Anolis sagrei: one gene and its partner. The protein of the gene in region 2 purifies or fractionates together with the protein of the main gene of each other region. This does not show direct contact. Links are inferred from orthologs where the notes say so. Each region holds a gene or a part of one and is shown on either strand. Other genes may lie near its edges. The genes, in order: TSC22D1 and NRBP1.

What was found.
Region 1: the proteins of NRBP1 (region 2) and TSC22D1 purify together in Homo sapiens (affinity purification with mass spectrometry; 6 studies listed by BioGRID and IntAct, with this or other methods). This does not show direct contact. The link is inferred for Anolis sagrei from reciprocal best matches to the Homo sapiens genes NRBP1 and TSC22D1.

The regions. Positions count from the first base shown.
Region 1 is NC_090023.1:144,370,678-144,379,783, reverse strand, and holds the start of TSC22D1 (TSC22 domain family protein 1), read right to left. Parts: upstream 4,290-9,106; 5' UTR 3,372-4,289; coding exon 547-3,371; intron 1-546. UniProt on the Homo sapiens protein: Transcriptional repressor. Acts on the C-type natriuretic peptide (CNP) promoter. Acts to promote CASP3-mediated apoptosis.
Region 2 is NC_090021.1:1,052,372-1,061,625, reverse strand, and holds the start of NRBP1 (nuclear receptor-binding protein), read right to left. Parts: upstream 4,570-9,254; 5' UTR 4,240-4,569; intron 4,146-4,239; exon of another isoform or gene 4,068-4,145; 5' UTR 4,060-4,067; coding exon 3,760-4,059; intron 1-3,759. UniProt on the Homo sapiens protein: Required for embryonic development. Plays a role in intestinal epithelial cell fate and proliferation, thereby involved in the architectural development of the intestine potentially via the regulation of Wnt-responsive genes.

The DNA of each region.
Region 1 (9,106 bases), on a different chromosome or scaffold from region 2:
AGCCTGATTGTTACAAGTTACATTATAATAACAGCTGGGAAAGAAGGAAGAAAAATAAGGTAAGATCATGAAAAGCAATGTTAAAATGGTCTGCATAGGTGAGGGAGAATGAAAGAAGTCCTTCCACCATTCACCCTCCTTCCTCCATTCAGAGAAAAAGGAGAAAGTCAGATTAATCACATTATGGCAGTCAAGGAACTGAAAGAAGTCCTTCCATCAAACTTACCCAATTAAGATGTGCATTTCCATACCTTAATCAGTGAACACTTCACAAAATGTTTCACACACTGAGAAAAATACATTAACCCTTCAGAGTGATAATTAACTATTCTTTAGGGTTCCGTTACTTTTTCGCTCGCAAGCTTTCCAACAAAATCCTACAGGCACTGAACATTGTGGCATAAAATCCCTTGTCTATTATTAGCTAAAGAAGTTCTTGTTAACACAAGTTACTGATTCTGTAATGATAAAACTATATTTGTTTGACAATGAATCAATAAGAGCAGTTTACAACATATCACTTTTTCCCCTTTGGCCTGATCTTACCTCTCATCCTCACCATCAACCAGCTGCGATGTCAATGGAAGTACCTTCAAGGGGAAAAGAGAGGATGCCATGCTGCTGCCTCCATCTGAAATGGACGAGGATGTACTTCCTCCGCCTTCACCGCTGATAAGTTGGGGTAAGCCAATCAAGGTGGGTTCTGTAGAGCGCCTGGCCTCTTCAGCACGGGACGCAACTGCATGGGCAAGAGACTGTGCAGAAAACTGGGCAGAGTTCAGTGGTATCTGTGCAGACAAATTTGGAGCTATAGGCAAATTGATGCTAGTTGACATTAACGAAGGCTGGGACACATTTTGAACCAAGTTCCCATTCTGCACACCAGAAGACTGTGCTATGTTCTTTGAAGCAGCCAAACTCATCGGAGCAGGGGACACATTGGCAGCAGGGTGGCCTGGGGCAGGGACAGCACTAACAGAAGGTATCGGGCTCACAGGGGGCAGCTGACCAGCAAGTCCTTGAGCAAGAGATTCTGATGCTTGGAGTAGGGTACTCTGTGGTGCAATCACCAATGGCTGAGCAAGGCTTGATGTGCTGCCTTGCTGCCCTGGATGAATCATCCCTGCTGCAACAGGGGGCACGGCTTGAGAAGGTGGAGGAGCAGTACTTTGTGCCATCACTGGAGGGGTAATTTGGTTTGTAACAGGAGGCGGTGGCTGCTGCACCACAGGAGGTACACTTGCTTGTGGACCAACATTCATCATCTGAGCACTAGCTCCAATGGTCTGCATTGTTGTCTGGGCATGGGCAACAGGCTGAGAGGATGCCACTGCCAAGTGTGCTTGTACTGAAGGCTGCACACTTGGGGCCTGAGCAACAGGGACAGGCGTACCTGTTCCCACCACTGGAGGACCAGTCTGCATAGAAGAAGCTGGGGTTTGCACCATCTGTTGTTGTTGTTGCTGCTGCTGCATGTAATCTGGCACAGATCCTGTAACAGAGTTTTGATTCACTGGCTGAATGTGCCCTGGGGCCATCTGCATGGGCATCTGCTGAGGTGGTGGAGGGTGCTGTGCCTGTCCTTGCCCGTACGGCAACTGGTGTGATTGCGGCACAACTGGAACAGCCTGCACAGGTTGGGATGATTGTTGGGTGTATGGCAGCTGCTGTGCCGGTGCCATAGCAGGCTGCGGATGGCCACCAACGATATTCACAGGAGGAGGAACAGCTGAGGGAGTGGGCTGGACCCCTTGCTGTAGCTGAGAATAATTCACATCCTGAGGATGAAGCTGTGCTTGTGCAAGCTGTGACTGGGAAATGCTCTGGGGCATACTGGGAGCTGGCACAGCTTGAGGGCCAGTGGCGCCAAAATCCACTTGCTGAGAAACAGCCCCTTGAAATGCCTGCTGCTGCTGCACCATCACAGTAGGTGCTCCCATCTCTCCGCTTCCCACGCTTTCCGTATAGTGACTCAACGTGCTTACGTTGCTGCTCACTGAGCTCCCACTGGTACTCTCCCTTTCAGAAGTCCCTTCGAGAGGGTTTTGTTTCAGAGTGTCTACGGCTTTGTTGACTGCAGCTACTCCTTCCGCGAGGGAGACAGGGTTCTCTTTGTCATAGAACTCTGTGCATGTCCACCTGCCTTTCTTGAAAGGCTCTGAACTAGAATCCAGTTTCACCACTCTAAACCTCGAGGTGCTGGCTGCGGGCTGCAGGTGACTAGGTGCTGCTCCGGCAACTGGATTGCTAGAGTTACCGGAGGAAGCACTCGTGCCATTGCTGACCCCACTCAGGACAGCCACGTTCACGCTGCTGCTTGCTCCAGGCAGAGGGGTTCCCCCACCTGTACTTGGGATGTTACTGAGATTCTTATGCATATGACCAGGCACGCCGCTCACCATGCTAGGCCCGCCACTGGCCACACCACCAAATGTGCTGGTAGCAGCAGAAGGAACTCCAGCAGCACGGAAATGAGAGACGGTGGTGGCTGCAGGTGTCCCAGTGGATGATGCAGCAGAAATAGGCACAGACGCCACTGTGGCAGAGGCCCCATCAGTGCTCCCAGCTGCAGAGAGCTTCCGAAAGGATGGGCTGGATGGGGCGACTGGGCCAGCTGCCCCAGAATGCGAGGAGTGGTGATGCCCATGATGGTGGTGGTGATGGTGGTGGTGGAAATGGTGTCCGTGAGGCGGGTGAACGCTCCCGTTCATCGCCATGCCCTGCTGCTGGGGTGCATGAGGCAAGGCCGGAGGGGGGTGCTGCTGCTGCTGGGGGAGGCCCGGCTGGTTGGGGGAGACGGCCCCGGGGCTTTCGGCCTCTTGGAAGTTGTTCAGCGTCTCTTCAGAGGAGCTGCGCTCAGGCTCGCCCAGGTCTGTGGCCCGGGACAGGGAGACGTCGAGGATCTCAGAGGAGGAGAGGTCCTCGGTGTGGGACTCATCCAGGTCGTCGTAGCTCTCGGTGTCCTCGGCGATGCTGTTGTTGGAGCTGAGGCTGGCGGAGATCTGGGCCGGGGTCACGCTGGTGATCTGGAAGCCGCTCTTCTTCTTCATCTGGGCCCCGGCCTGCCCCGCCGGAGGGAGAGGCATCGGCACCGGAGGGGCCCCGGGCTGGGAGGGCAGCGACAGGCTCTGCGGTGGCGGAGGGGGCGGGGGCCCCTGCGGCCCAGCAGGGGAGGCAGAGGAGGATGCGGCGGCGGCAGGCGGTGGCTGGAGGAGCAGCGGGGGCGGGAGGTCTTCTAGGGCCGGCCCCACCACGGCGACGCCGCTGCTGCTACTGCTGCCGCTCCCCCTCCGAGGGAGCATCGCCGGGTGCGCCATCTTCCTCCCCCCACTAGGACTGTCTGCCGCTGAGTCAGGCTGGTGGTGGTGCATTGGACGACAAGGGCTATTTTAAGGAGCTCGCTTCCCCAGAATGGCGGGCGGAGGGAGGGAGGGAGGCGCGCGACACGCCACGCACTACTCCCTCTCCCTCGCGCTCTCTCTCTCTCAGGCGCGCGCGCCCAGGCCCCTGCCGCCTCTCAGGCCCCGGCCATGCACTCCCCTCCCCTCCTCCTCTCCCCGCCTAAGGTTCCCGGTTCAGAGCAGCTGGCTCGCCAAGGGGGGGAGGGAAGGAGAGAAGGAGGGAAAGGGGCGAGGAGCCGCCCCGAAGCAGGGAAAGCCCCCGAGCGGAGCCTCCCGGGAAGGGGAGAGGGGGGAGGAGGAGGGGCCCTGGGCGGAAGGTACCTACGGCAGTCCCGCTGGCGCCTCCCCATCAAGAGCAACTCCTCAGCAGCAGCAAGAGGAGCGCGCGGCGCGGGGCATGACTCCCACCGAGGGCGGGGAGGCACGAGGGGAAGAGAGCCTGGCGCAGCCCCACAGCCGCTCCTGCCTCCTCCCTCTCTCTCTCTCTCTCTCTGCGCCGCCGCCTCCTCCTCTTCCTCTCAGCGAGCCTTCTCTCTCTCTCTCTCTCCCTCCTCTCAGCCCCTTCCTCCCTTCGCTCGCGGTTTCCCTGCTCCAGAGTCAGTCAGAAACGGGGGGAGGGAGGCGGAGGCGGCAAAAAAAAATGGCGCTGGCGGCGCAGGCGCAGCGCGGACGCAGACATAAAGGACTCGTCTGGCGCGAGGCAGGCGGCGGGCGAAGAGCTTCGGCTCCAGCGGCGGAAATGCCCGAGGCGGGTGAGGGTGAGGGAGGGGGCGGGGCCTGGCTCGGGTGCTCGTTCGCCAGCGAGGGGCGGGGGAAGAGGGAGCCTGAGGGCGTTGCCCTTTCCTGAAATGGCGGCGGGGCCACACTCCTCGCCGCTTCTGCCAGGGTCACGCGCCTCCAACGAAGCACCGGGCTGAAGCGTTATGTGTGTCCCCCCCTTCCCCTCCGTATCGCGGAAGGGGCGGGCTTTCTTCCTGCTTTGCCGGACACCGGTTGCCATGTGCGCGACGGAACCGGGAGCTGATTGGAGGAGCGCCTGTCAGTCACAGCGGGGGAGGGGGCCGTGAACAACTCCCATATAAGAGGGCCAGAAGGGGCGGGGCTTAGCGGGTCCTGAACGTCACTCACAGACAGCCGTGAGGCGGCGACGGGGGGAGGGGGAGGGGGAGGGAGGGAGCCCCCCTTCTTCCCCCTGAGGACGGGAAGTGCTGCCGCTTTAGCCTCGCCGGGGAGTGCGTAAGGGCGCCTTTCCCCATCCTGGCCCCTCAGAGATGGCACTGAGGACAGAGCAAGGCTTGTTTGGCGACCAGGGAGACAGCCAGGCCTGCGCGCCTCTTCACTTTCGCCGCCTCCTCCTCCTCTTCGGCCCGCAGGCTGGCGCGTGCGATACATGGCAGGCAGGCAGGCAGGCCATCTTGCTTCTCCCTTCCCTCCTGCTAGTGGCTGGTTCTGAAAATACACCGAAAACTTTCAGAATATTCCAGACACCTTCTCGGCCTTGCTTTGCACAAAAGAGTCTAATGGCCCCTTAAACACACATAGATTAATCCCCAGCTCCTTCAAGGTCAATCCAGTCACTTCAAAGATACCGTCCATCCATCTTGCCCTTGTTCGGCCCCTCTTCCTTTTTCCTTCCATTTTCCCCAGCATCATTGTCTTCTTTAAGCTTTCCTTTCTTCTCATGATGTGGCCAAAGGACTTCATCTTCGCCTCTAATATCCTTCCCTCCAGTTGTAATCAGAGGTGATGCCCTCCCCCCCAAGACTCTGTAAAAGATAGTTCAAAACCAGGGAATTCATAGTTTTGCCAAGGACACAAGGCTGGAATGATCCCATAATCCCCTATCGCTCCTCCTGTTTTTATGAATGGACTTTGGCTACTCAGTGCTTTTCTGAATTTTTATGAACTCTCATGAACTTTTTAGGAACTTTTATGGACTTTTTGCCAACTTTCATGAACTTTAATAGACTTCGGGATGACTGAAATTAATTCCCCTTGGACCCTGCATGCCTTCCCCTTCCCCTATGAATTCTGGGTATGCCCCATTCATTGTATGTATGGCTATGTAAGAAATTATGAAGCAAAGTGACCTTTACATGAACTATGCCAGCAACTCATTGCTCTAGGAATCCAAGGGGAATTCATTACAGTCTATTAAAGTTCATGAAAGTTGGCAAAAAGTCCATAAAAGTTCCTAAAAAGTTCATGAGAGTTCATAAAAATTCAGAAAAGCACTGAGTAGCCATTGCTCTAGGTTTTGGTCAAGTCCTTTCTTTGGGGATTATTGGCTCAGGAAGTTTGGAGATTCCTATTATTATTATTATTATTATTATAACTTTATTTGTACCCCGCTAGCATCCCCCGCAGGACTCGATGCGGCTTACATAGGCCTAGGCCTCAAAACACAATACAACAGTACAATACCTAGTGCAAATTAAAACAGTTAAGCAGAAATAAACAACAGCAATAACAATACATCAAAACATCAAGACAATATAAAACTGGGCCAGGCCAGAAAATGGGTACAAGATTAAAAGTGCTGATGTGGCAGGAGGTATGTAGGATTATAAAGTGTGTGCGGTGTGCAGTAATCTTAGTTCTATAAAGTCCTAGAAGCACTTTGCTTTAGAATTTGCTTTAGGTTGTGTATTGTTATGTTGTGTTTTGAGGCCTAGGCCTATGTAAGCCGCATCGAGTCCTGCGGGAGATGCTAGCGGGGTACAAATAAAGTTATAATAATAATAGGAATCTCCAAACTTCCTGAGCCAATAATCCCCAAAGAAAGGACTTGACCAAAACCCATTTGCATGGACAATACAATACGTAAATGGTTCCCTTTTCTGGAACTCAGAGGGCCCGATGGCCAGGCCATCCAGAACAATGGAGTCTATGGATATACTGAATCACTCAACACAAAGGACATCTCCCCATCTGCAAAGAACCAGGGATTGTCGCTGCCTCCCCTGCTGTGTCAAATCCCAATCTCTGAAACCAATCTCAACTTCATCAGTGAAACCAATATTGCAGGACAATAAGACAGTGGACCTGGCCTCTCGGGTCCAGACAGAAATGTTAATTCAAAGATCGGGACAATAACCCTGGCCAGGCTGGACAGCCTAAAGCTATCGCTTGGCAAACACCAGTCATTTGTTATCCAGTCACCTAGTCATTTCTTCATTTTTCCCTGTTGCCCACCTCCCTTCCACCTCATTGGCTGAGCGGCCAAAGCAGGACCAAGGCCCTCATTGGATCTCCTCCTGGCTCGCTGACGTCACAGCCAATCACAACGAAGCTGGCTTGGGATGGGTGCGGTGAAAATTGAATGGAAAACTATATATTCTGTATTTACCTGCCTAGCAAACATGTCAGCTTGTTTGGCAGATTACTGCAGTCATCATCATTTCCAGCTGGAATAGAAAATAAACTTCGGTGGCTTCTCTTCAATTTAGTGAGATTTATTCTAGAATACTGGCTTCTCTTTCTCACCAGGCTAAACCCGCAATGGCTTGGATCTCACTATCCACAACCATTCTAAATTGCTCGACAACACAGTGAGCAGTCGGGCTTTATTTCTGGGTGTATGGAATGGTTTGATCTTCTACAAAGTCACAATTCTGCACTAGTTCAAGAAAGAGAGGTTACTCTAGTTTTAAGTCACCCATTGGTTCAGGTTGGGAATGTATGGGAAGGGACACCTAGAAGAAGCACCCACATTTGCCTTGTATGACTTTCTTTTTGAATACTACCTCATAGTGTGGTGGAAGCTTCTTCCTTGGAGGCTTTTAAACAGGCTGGGTGGTCATCTCTCAGGAGTGCTTTGATTGTGATTTTCCTGCATGGCAGAAGGTTGAACTATATGGCTGATGTGGTCTCTTTCAACGCTATGATTCTATTTATATTTTCAGAAGCAGTACGATTATAATGTATTTAAAAGACACAAAGTTAAAAACTTCGCATTATGATAGATTTCCTTTAACCAATAGCTGGCCACTTGGTGTTTCTATAAGAAGGTCCTCAATTGTGCATGTGGCAGGACTCAGATTGCATGGTAGTAGGTGGTCTGCTCTTCTCCACACTTGCATATCATGGACTCCACTTTGTAGCCCTATTTCTTAGGCTTGGCTCTGTATCTCATGGTGCCAAGGCGCAGTCTGTCCAGAACCTTCCAAGTCACCCAGTCTTCTGTCTGCCCAGGAGGAAATTTCTCATCCTGTATCACCCACTGGTTGAAGTTCTGAGTTTTATGTCGATCTCAGAAAGCTATTCCTTGATTTAAGGCGTTGGCTTGCTGGCTGATATCTGAACAGGGGATGGTCCAGAGATGTCCATGCTTGGTCCTTTCATTGCTGGCTGCTACTTCCCAGCAGATGTCAAGTGGTGCAATACTGGCTAAACAATATAACTTCTCCAGTGATGTAGGGCGTAGACATCCTGTGATAATGTGGCATGTCTCATTAAGAGCCATATCCACTGTTTTAACGTGATGAGATGTGTTCCACACTGGGCATGCATACTCAGCAGCAGAGTAGGAAAGTGCAACGGCAGATGTCTTCACTGTATCTGGTTGTGATCCCCAGGTTGTGCCAGTCAGCTTTCATATTATATTATTTCTAGCACCCACTTTTTGCTTGATATTCAAGCAGTGCTTCTCATAAGTCAGAGTATGGTCCAGAGCAACTCCCAGGTATTTGGGTGTGCTGCAGTGCTCTAATGGGATTCCTTCCCAGGTTATCCTCAGATCTCGAGGTGCTTGTCTGTTCTTAAGATGAAAGCACACATCTGCATTTTAGATGGATTAGGAATCAGCTGTTTTTTCCCGTAATAGGCAGTAAGAGCACATAGAGCTTTGGAGAGCTTCCGTTCAACCATTTCAAAGCTCCCTGCTTGAGCGGTGGTGGCACGATTGTCAGCATAGATTAAACTCTGTGTCCCTTGTAGCAATGGCTGGTCATTTGTGTAAATGCTGAGCATTGATGGAACAAGCACACTCCCCTGAGGCAGGCCGTTCTTCTGTTTTCACCATCTGCTTCTATGATTCTACAACATCCCCAAATCACAACATGGATTCACCCATTATTGTGGCCACAGTGCTAGCACTTTATTGCATCAGTGTCAACCCAGGTCTGAAGCAGTTTTAGGATCCTATTCACCAGTTTGCCATGAATTACAACATATGGCCAAACATTGGAGGTAAACCTGAAATGCCATGTTTCTTTCTGAGGCAGCCAGAATTAGACAATTCCTTATTTTAGACACAGGCTGAAACATACCAGCACTTTTTATAGTCTTTTACCTGTGTTTTTAGCCAACATGTATTTTAAGCAGTTTTTATTGTTTGCATCCAACTGGATGTTCTTAATCCCATTAACTGTATAACTTGTATGCTACCGTATAATAAGGGTCTTTGGACCATAATAAAAATGTATGTATGGTATTACATGATCAGTAGCACAATCAAAGCATAGTAGTATGCTTTGATTGTGCTTTGCTTGCATGGCCCATGCACTAGATGGCCCACGTGGTCTCTTCCAACTCTATTATTCAATGTCAACCCAAAAGACACCTTTTATTTCATTAGTCAACCCATTTGCCAAATTATCATTTATTTTACAAAACAAGAGTTTAGCTCAGGCCTGCACAAGATGCTCTCTCCAACCCCAAGAGGCTTAGCCTATCTAATGTTGGCCTTTTCCTACTTACAAGTT
Region 2 (9,254 bases):
TGACAGATGGCCATCCAGCCTCTGTTGAAAAGCTTCCAAAGAAGGAGCCTCCACCACACTCCGGGGCAGAGAGTTCCACTGCTGAACGGCTCTCACAGTCAGGAAGTTCTTCCTCATATTCAGATGGAAGTCCCTGAACAGACTCCGAAGTGGAGTGGGCACATCAAAAGACAACCTGGCTAGAAGAACCCTCCACCTTGTGCAACTGGGGAGTAGAACAAACCATTTTGCACCTCATAGAATCATAGTCCAACGCTCGGAAGCCATGATACTAACTGGAGCAGAGCGCAGGGAGCACACAACTCCTCTGCTGCACCAGCTCCACTGGCTGCCGATCTGCTACTGGGCTCAATTCAAAGTGCTGGCGTTGGCCTTTAAAGCTCTAAACGGTTCTGGCCCAACCTACCTATCCGAACGTATCTCTGCCTATCAGCCCACCAGGACCCTAAGATCTTCGGGGGGGGGGGGGGGCTGCTCTCTATCCCGCCTGCTTCACAGGTGCGGCTGGCGGGGAAGAGAGACAGGGCCTTTTCTGTGGTGGCCCCGCGGCTATGGAACGCCCTCCCCATGGAGGTAGGATCACCCCCCTCATTGATGGTATTCCGGAAAGGACTAAAAACCTGGATGTTCGAGCAGGCGTTCGGTTAACTCAGTGCAATAAGTGTAATGATTGAAGGACTGGCAATTTGGATGACGAAACTGGATCGCGATTTTAGTCAAGAGATGAATTGGATTGTTTATTGATATATGTATTGTGGATCGTGTTTTTATGCTTTTAAACTGTATACTGTTGTTTGTTATAAGTTGTTGTAAACCGCGTTGAGTCGCCGGCTAGGCTGAGAAACGGCGGTATACAAGTATAGCAAATAAATAAATAGAGTTGGAAGAGACCTCGTGGGCCATCCAGTTCAGCCCACCATGCTCTGCCTCACGCACAGAGGAAGGGCAAACTTAAACCTGACATACAAGCAGGTTGTTAGGAATTGTGGGAGTTAAACTCCAAACCATCTGGAGGGCTGAAGTTTGCCCATGCCTGCCCTTAAAGCTACATTTTTAGTCTAAGATTATTTAGCTGCTTGTACTCCTATTTTATCAGTTTTATACCTGATAAGTATAAATTACTGTTTTAACTGATATGTTATAGCAGGGGTCCTCAAACTAAGGCCCGGGGTCCGGATGCGGCCCTCCAAGGTCATTTACCCAGCCCTCAGGGTCAACCTAAGTCTGGAATGACTTGAAAGCACACAACAACAACAACAAGAACAACAATTCTATCTCATCAGCCAAAAGCAGGTCCACACTTCCCATTGAAATACTAATAAATTTCTATTTGTTAAAATTGTTCTTCATTTTAATTATTGTATTGCATTTAAGTGTTTTTTGCACTACAAATAAAATATGTGCAGTGTGCATAGGAATTCATTCATGTTTTTTTTTCCAAATTATAATCTGGCCCTCCAGCAGTTTGAAGGACTGTGACCTGGCCCTCTGTTTAAAATGTTTGTGGACCCCTGTGTTATAGTAATATGATTTATTTATTTATGCTATATGTTCCAGGCATCGAATTATGCCTTTGTTGTGCTCCACCCTGAGCCTCCGCCAGGGTGAGAAGGGAGGGGTATGACTAAATTAAATAAATAAACAATGCCTGTTTATGTATGCAATGCTTCTTTGGACACAACGTAAATAAATAAACAAAGTACACAGTGCTCATATAGACAGGCATGGGCAAGCTTCAGCCCTCCCTCCAGGTGTTTTGGACTTCAACTCCCACAATTCCTAACAGCCTTAGGCCCTTTCCTTTTGAGATATGGGGCTGTAAAGGATGGGGCATGAGGCTGTTAGGAATTGTGGGAGTTGAAGTCCAAACACATGGAGGGAGGGCTAAAGTTTGCCCATGCCTGGTTTAAAGCTACTGACAATGTGGTCACTACCTCTGAGGATGCTTGCCATAGATGCAGGCGAAACATCAAGAGAAAATGCCTCTAGAACATGGCCATATAGCCCAGAAAACCTACAACAACCCAATGTGGTCACTGTTGTCCATTTTTGGTCTAAAACGAATTAGCTGCTGTTGCCCCCTCTATTTTCTCACTTTCACACTTATGTATTCAATGCTTCCTTTGACATAAAGTAAATAAATAAATAATATACACAGTGCCCATATAGACCAGGCCTGGACAAACTTGGACCCTCCCTTGAGGTGTTTTGGACTTCAACTCCCACCATTCCTAACAGCTTCTGGTCTTTTCCGTTTGAGATATGGAGCTGTAAAGGAAGGGGCCTAAGGCTTTTGGGAATTGTGGGAGTTGGAGTCCAAATCAACAACAACAACACTTTATTTATATTCCATCCTCTCTCCAGGGGGACTCAGGGCAGATCACAGGACACATACATGAGAAACATTCCATGCCATTTGGCCAGACAAGGACAGAAGACTTCCAGCTTTTCGGCGCCTTGGAGGTGGTGCTCATATCCAGCCACAGGGGGGTGCTGTTACTCCATCCTCTATGTTAAAATTGTCCATTTCAATTGTTCTTTTGTTTTTAAGTGTTTTTTGCACTACAAATACGATATGTGCAGTGTGCATAGGAATTCATTCAATTTTTTTTCCAAATACTAACCCGGCCCTCCAAGAGTTTGAGGGACTGTGACCTGGCCCTCCGTTTAAAAAGTTCGAGGACCCCTGTTTTACAGTGTTGTATAATACCTCCCCCGGTTTTTAACCTGTTTTTGAACTGCTTAGGTCAACAGTGAGCTGGGCTGACAGTCGGGGGCTCACACTGACCCGGGCTTCAAACTGGCAATCTTTCAGAGGGAAGGCCCAAGTTTGCCCATGCCTGTTCTACTCTCTTCCCATTCTATGACTGAGCTCTCAAATCTGTATCCCCAAGCGACCAACCCCTGCTTGCCCCTTCTTTCCTCCCTCCCTTGAAGGTTTTGGCACTGCTTAGGTCAACAGTGAGCTGGGCTGACAGTGGGGGGCTCACGCCGACCTGGGCTTCGAACTGGCAACCTTTCGGAGGGAAGACCCAAGTTTGCCCATGCCTGCTCTAATCTCTTCCCATTCTATGATAATAATAATAATAATAATAATAATACAGATCCGTATCCCCAAGTGGCCAACCCCTGCTTGCCCCTTCCTCCCTTCCTTTAGGGTTTTGGCACTGCTTAGGTCAACAGTGAGCTGGGCTGAGAGTCGGGGGCTCACACCGACTCGGGCTTCGAACTGGCAACCTTTCAAAGGGAGGGCCCAAGTTTGCCCATGCCTGCTCTAATCTCTTCCCATTCTAGGATTGAGCTTTCGAATCCGTATCCCCAAGCGATGAACCCCTTCTTTCCTCCCTCCCTTGAGGGTTTTGGCACTGCTTAGGTCAAGAGTGATCTGGGCTGAGAATGGGGGGCTCACACCGATCCTGGGCTTCGAACTGGCAACCTATTTATTGTGTCATCAGCAACCATACCATAATAATAATAATACGGATCCGTATCCCCAAGCGACCAACCCCTTCTTTCCTCCCTCCCTTTAGGGTTTTTGCACTGCTTAGGTCAACAGTGAGCTGGGCTGACAGTTGGAGGCTCACACCGACCCTGGGCTTCGAACTGGCAACCTATTTATCGTGACATCAGCAACCATACCATAATAATAATAATAATAAAGATCCGTATCCCCAAGCGACCAAACCCAGCTTGCCCCTTCTTTCCCCCCTCCCTTTTGCTTAGGTCAAGAGTGATCCGGGCTGGCAGTGGGGGGCTGACCTCCTCTCGGCGCTTCTGCCACCGTCCGCAGGGCGACTCCTCCAGGATCTCGGACTCGTCCTCGCTCTCCTCCTCCTCTTCCTCTTCCTCCTCCTCCTCCTCGGGCTCCTCCTCGCCGGACTTGGCCTTGGCGGGCGCCGGGGGCGAGGAGGCCGAGGAGGCCGCAGAGGCAGGGGCGCAGGCCGGAGGGGCCTCGGCCTTGGGCTCCGCGCCGCCCGAGTTGGGGCCTCCTCCTCCTCCGCTACTATTCCCGCTTCCTCCTCCTCCGCCTCCTCCTCCTCTGGCCTCTCCGTCAGACATTACAGAGACTGAGACACACAGAGACAGAGAGAGAGAGAACCCGGTGAGAAGAGAGAGAAGGAAGGATGAAGAGGGCGGCGGCGCGCTGTGACGTCATACCTCCGCGCCGCCACGCCCCCTCGCAGGAAGGGGAGGAGCCCCGCCGCTGCCCCGTTACCATAGCAACGTCGTGAGGCCTACCTTGGCAACCCCTCCCGCGCTGGAGTAGAAACAGCCCCGACGACTCCTCTCGCTCTCCTAGACGCGGGCTTCACTACTCCCTCGCTTCCTCACTCTTGCCGGTTCCGCAGCAGCGCCCGGAGCGCCAAGCGGCAGCCGCCTCCGCCTTCTCCTCAGGCACAGTCACACTGGAGAGGCGGCGGCACAACCCGGCGCTCCTCCACCAATGAGCGCTCGGGATAGGCGCTGCCCGATCTCGGATTGGACAACGGCTTGCCTGTCTTGAAGGGCGAGCCAATGAGAAAAAGGGGGCGGGACACTGAGGACCAAGCGGCAGCCGCCACCTTATTCTCCTCACGCGCAGCTAGACTGCAAGAGGAGGGACGGAGCGATGCTTGACCAATGAGCGCTTAGGATACGCGCTCCCCGATCTCGGATTGGACAACGGCTTGCCTGTCTTGAACGGCGAGCCAATGAGAAAAAGGGGGCGGGACACTCAGGACCAAGCGGCAGCCGCCACCTCCTCCTCACGCGCAGCAAGACTGTAGGAGGCGGGACGGAGCGATGATCGACCAATGAGCACTCAGGATACGCGCTGCCCGCTCTCCGATTGGAGCCCGGCTTGCCTGTCTTTAAAGGAGAGCCAATGAGAAAAAGGGGGCGGGACACTGAGGATCAAGCGGCAGCCGCCACCTCCTTCTCCTCACGCGCAGCAAGACTGTAGGAGGCGGGACGGAGCGATGATCGACCAATGAGCACTCAGGATGCGCGCTGCCCGCTCTCCGATTGGAGCCCGGCTTGCCTGTCTTTAACGGAGAGCCAATGAGAAAAGGTGGGCGGGACACTGAGGGGAGTGACGACTATGGGCCCTTGGACTGCAGGAGGAGGGACGGAGCGATGCTCGACCAATGAGCGCTAAGGATACCCGCTGTCCGCTCTCGGATTGGAGCCTCGCAATGCCTGTCTTCAACGGCGAGCCAATGAGCAAAAGGGGAGGGTTGACATAGATGGAAGGCGGGACGGAGCGATACTGAACCAGTGAGCACTCAGGATACGCGCTGCCCACTCTCGGATTGGAGACCGGCAATGCCTGTCTTCAACGGCGAGCCAATGAGCAAAAGGGGAGGGTTGACGCAGATGGAAGGCGGGACGGAGCGATACTGGACCAATGAACACTCAGGATACGCGCTGCCCCCTCTCCGATTGGAGGCTGGCAATGCCTGTCTTCAACGCCGAGCCAATGAGAAAAAGGGGGCGGGACACTGAAGGGGATGACTAAGATGGGCCAAGTGACAGTCGTCGCCTCTTTCTCCTCACGCGCAGCCAGACTACAGGAGGCGGGACGGAGCGATGCTCGACCAATGAGCGTTCAGGATACGCTCTTCCCGCCTTTGGATTGGATTCCGGCCCGCCTGTCCTCAGCGGCGAGCCAATGGGAAAAAGGAAGGGTGGGGATGACGCAGCTGAGCAGGAATGCGGCGACGGCGGGAGGTGTAGTCCAAAAGGGTCGGGCAAGGCCTTGGCGCATGTCTGTGTCGTTTAGCCACCCCAGGATGGTCTGGTTTCAGACCGGGACATGGTACCGAGACGGTCTTGGTCGCCTTAGTGGATGATCTGCGCCGGGAGCTAGACAGGGGGAGTGTGTCCCTGTTGGTGCTACTCGACCTCTCAGCGGCCTTCGATACCGTCGACCACGGTATTCTTCTGGGACGCCTTGCAGAGATGGGCCTCGGGGGTACTGTTCTGCAGTGGCTCCGGTCATTTCTGGAGGGCCGTACCCAGAAGGTGTTATTGGGGGACTCCTGTTCAACTCCACAGCCTTTGACTTGTGGGGTTCCACAGGGCTCTATACTGTCCCCCATGTTGTTTAATATCTACATGAAGCCGCTGGGGGAGATCATCCGGAGTTTCGGGGTGCGGTGTCACCTGGATGAGGGCGAACAAATTGAAATTGAATCCAGACAAGACAGAGGTACTCCTGGTCAGTCGCAAGGCCGAGCAGGGTATAGGGTTACAGCCTGTGCTGGATGGGGTCGCACTCCCCTTGAAGGCGCAGGTTCGCAGCTTGGGTGTGACCCTGGACTCATCGTTGAGCCTGGATCCCCAGGTTTCAGCGGTGACCAGGGGAGCATTTGCACAGCTTAGGCTCGTGCGCCAGCTGCGCCCGTACCTTGGGAAGTCTGACTTGGCCACGGTGGTACACGCTCTGGTCACATCCCGCCTTGACTACTGCAACGCTCTCTACGTGGGGCTGCCCTTGAAGACGGCCCGGAAGCTTCAGCTAGTCCAGCGCACGGCAGCCATGCTACTAACAGGAGCGGGGCGCAGGGAGCATACAACGCCCTTGTTGCTCCAGCTCCACTGGCTGCCGATATGCTACCGGGCCCAATTTAAGGTGCTGGTGTTATCCTACAAAGCCCTAAACGGTTCCGGCCCAAAATACCTGTCTGACCGCATCTCGGCCTATGAGCCCACGAGGACCTTGAGATCGTCTGGGGAGGCCCTTCTCTCGATCCCGCCTGCCTCACAGGCACGTCTGGCGGGGACGAGAGAGAGGGCCTTCTCGGTGGTGGCCCCCTGGCTGTGGAACACCCTCCCTGTTGACATCAGGCAGGCGCCCTCCCTTATGTCTTTTCGTAAGAGCCTAAAGACATGGCTATTTGAGAAGGCATTTAACTGAGTATACATCATCTGATAATGACAACTGGAACGGAATATGGATTACGAGTTTGGTTACGATTCTACGAAGACGGAGCGGATCATTTTTAGTGTAATTATAGTAATGTGTAGTGAGATGTTGTTTTTTCGATGTGCTTTACTGTAAACTGTTTTTAATAAGTGTTGTACACCGCCCTGAGTCGCCCTAGGGCTGAGAATGGCGGTTAATAAATGCAGGAAATAAATAAATAAATAAATAAATAAGAATGGGAAAACCGGCCAAGATGGGGCCTAAACCAGGCCTGGGAAGGCCCATGCTGGCTGTTCACATTATCTGCAATGGGTCCACCCCCTGCCTTCAAACTGATTTGACCAGCAGCAGGGAGTTCCACAGTTCCTGGATGTCCAAGTGGGTCAGCATTGCTGGGAATGTGGCCACAGCAGCGGCTTCAACTAGAGACTCTTTTTCTGCTTTGCTTTCTTCCCCTTGCCCTAACATTGTAACAAATCCCCCAATAGAGGATCTTAAACTGCGTTCCTCTGAACCGTGGATATGGAGACCCATTGGGTCCCCGTATCTGTGGGTCAGCGGATTGCTTCCAAACTGGTGCCATTTTTCTCCTAGACTCCAAATTCTTGCTCGATATCAACAGTATCTTGCTCGATATCAACATGGAGAGGGAAAGTTCATACTGGGGAATGTTAGAGGCAGTAAAGACCTCTACTAGGCAAGCCAAAGATCGCTGCCGGCTCGCCCAGGATGCTCTTCCAGCATCCTGGGAAAGCCAAAACTGCCTTCCTCTGAACCGCAGATACGGAGACCCATTGGGTCCCCGTATCTGTGGGTCAACAGATCGCTTCCAAACTGGTGCCATTTTTCTCCTAAACTCCAAATTCTTGCTTGATATCAACAGTATCTTGCTTGATATCAACAGTATCTTGCTCGATATCAACATGGAGAGGGAAAGTTCATACTGGGGAATGTTAAAGGGAGTAAAAGCCTCTACTGGGCGAGCCACAGATTGCTGCCGGCTCATCCAGGATGCTCTTCCAGCATCCCGGGGAAGCCGAAATTGCGTTCCTCTGAACTGCGGATACAGAGACCCATTGGGTCCCCGTATCTGTGGGTCAACGGATTGCTTCCAAACCGGTGCCATTTTTCTCCTAGACTCCAAATTCTTGCTCGATATCAACAGTATCTTGCTCGATATCAACATGGAGAGGGAAAGTTCGTACTGGGGAATGTTAGAGGCAGTAAAGGCCTCTACTGGGCGAGCCACAGATCGCTGCCGGCTCGCCCAGGATGCTCTTCAAGCATTCCGGGGAAGCCGAAACTGCGTACCTGTGAACAACGGATACGGAGAGCCATTGGGTCCCTGTATCTGTGGGTCAATGGATTGCTTCCAAACTGGTGCCATTTTTCTCCTAGACTCCAAATTCTTGCTCGATATCAACATGGAGAGGGAAATTTCATACTGGGAAATGTTAGAGGCAGTAAAAGCCTCTACTGGGCGAGCCACAGATCGCTGCCGGCTCGCCCAGGATGCTCTTCAAGAATTCCGGGGAAGCCGAAACTGCGTACCTGTGAACCACGGATACGGAGAGCCATTGGGTCCCTGTATCTGTGGGTCAATGGATTGCTTCCAAACTGGTGCCATTTTTCTCCTAGACTCCAAATTCTTGTTCGATATCAACATGGAGAGGGAAATTTCATACTGGGAAATGTTAGAGGCAGTAAAAGCCTCTACTGGGTGAGCCACAGATCGCTGCCGCCTCGCCCAGGATGCTCTTCCAGCATCCTGGGAAAGCCGAAACTGCGTTCCTCTGAACTGCGGATACAGAAACCCATTGGGCCTCCGTATCCGCAGGACAACGGATTGCTTCCAAACCGGTGCCATTTTTCTCCTAGACTCCAAATTCTTGCTCAATATCAACATGGAGAGGGAAAGTTCATACTGGGGAATGTTAGAGGCAGTAAAAGCCTCTACTGGGCGAGCCACAGATCGCTGCCGGCTCATCCAGGATGCTCTTTCAGCATCCCGGGGAAGCTGAAATTGCGTTCCTCTGAACCACGGATACAGAAACCCATTGGGCCTCCGTATCCGCAGGACAATGGATTGCTTCCAAACCGGTGCCATTTTTCTCCTAGACTCCAAATTCTTGCTCGATATCAACATGGAGAGGGAAAGTTCATACTGGGGAATGTTAGAGGCAGTAAAAACCTCTACTGGGTGAGCCAAAAATCGCTGCCGGCCCACCCAGGATGCTCTTCCAACATCCTGGGGAAGCCGAAACTGCGTTCCTCTAAACCGCGGATACAGAGACCCATTGGGTCCCCGTATCTGTGGGTCAGCGGATTGCTTCCAAACCGGTGCCAT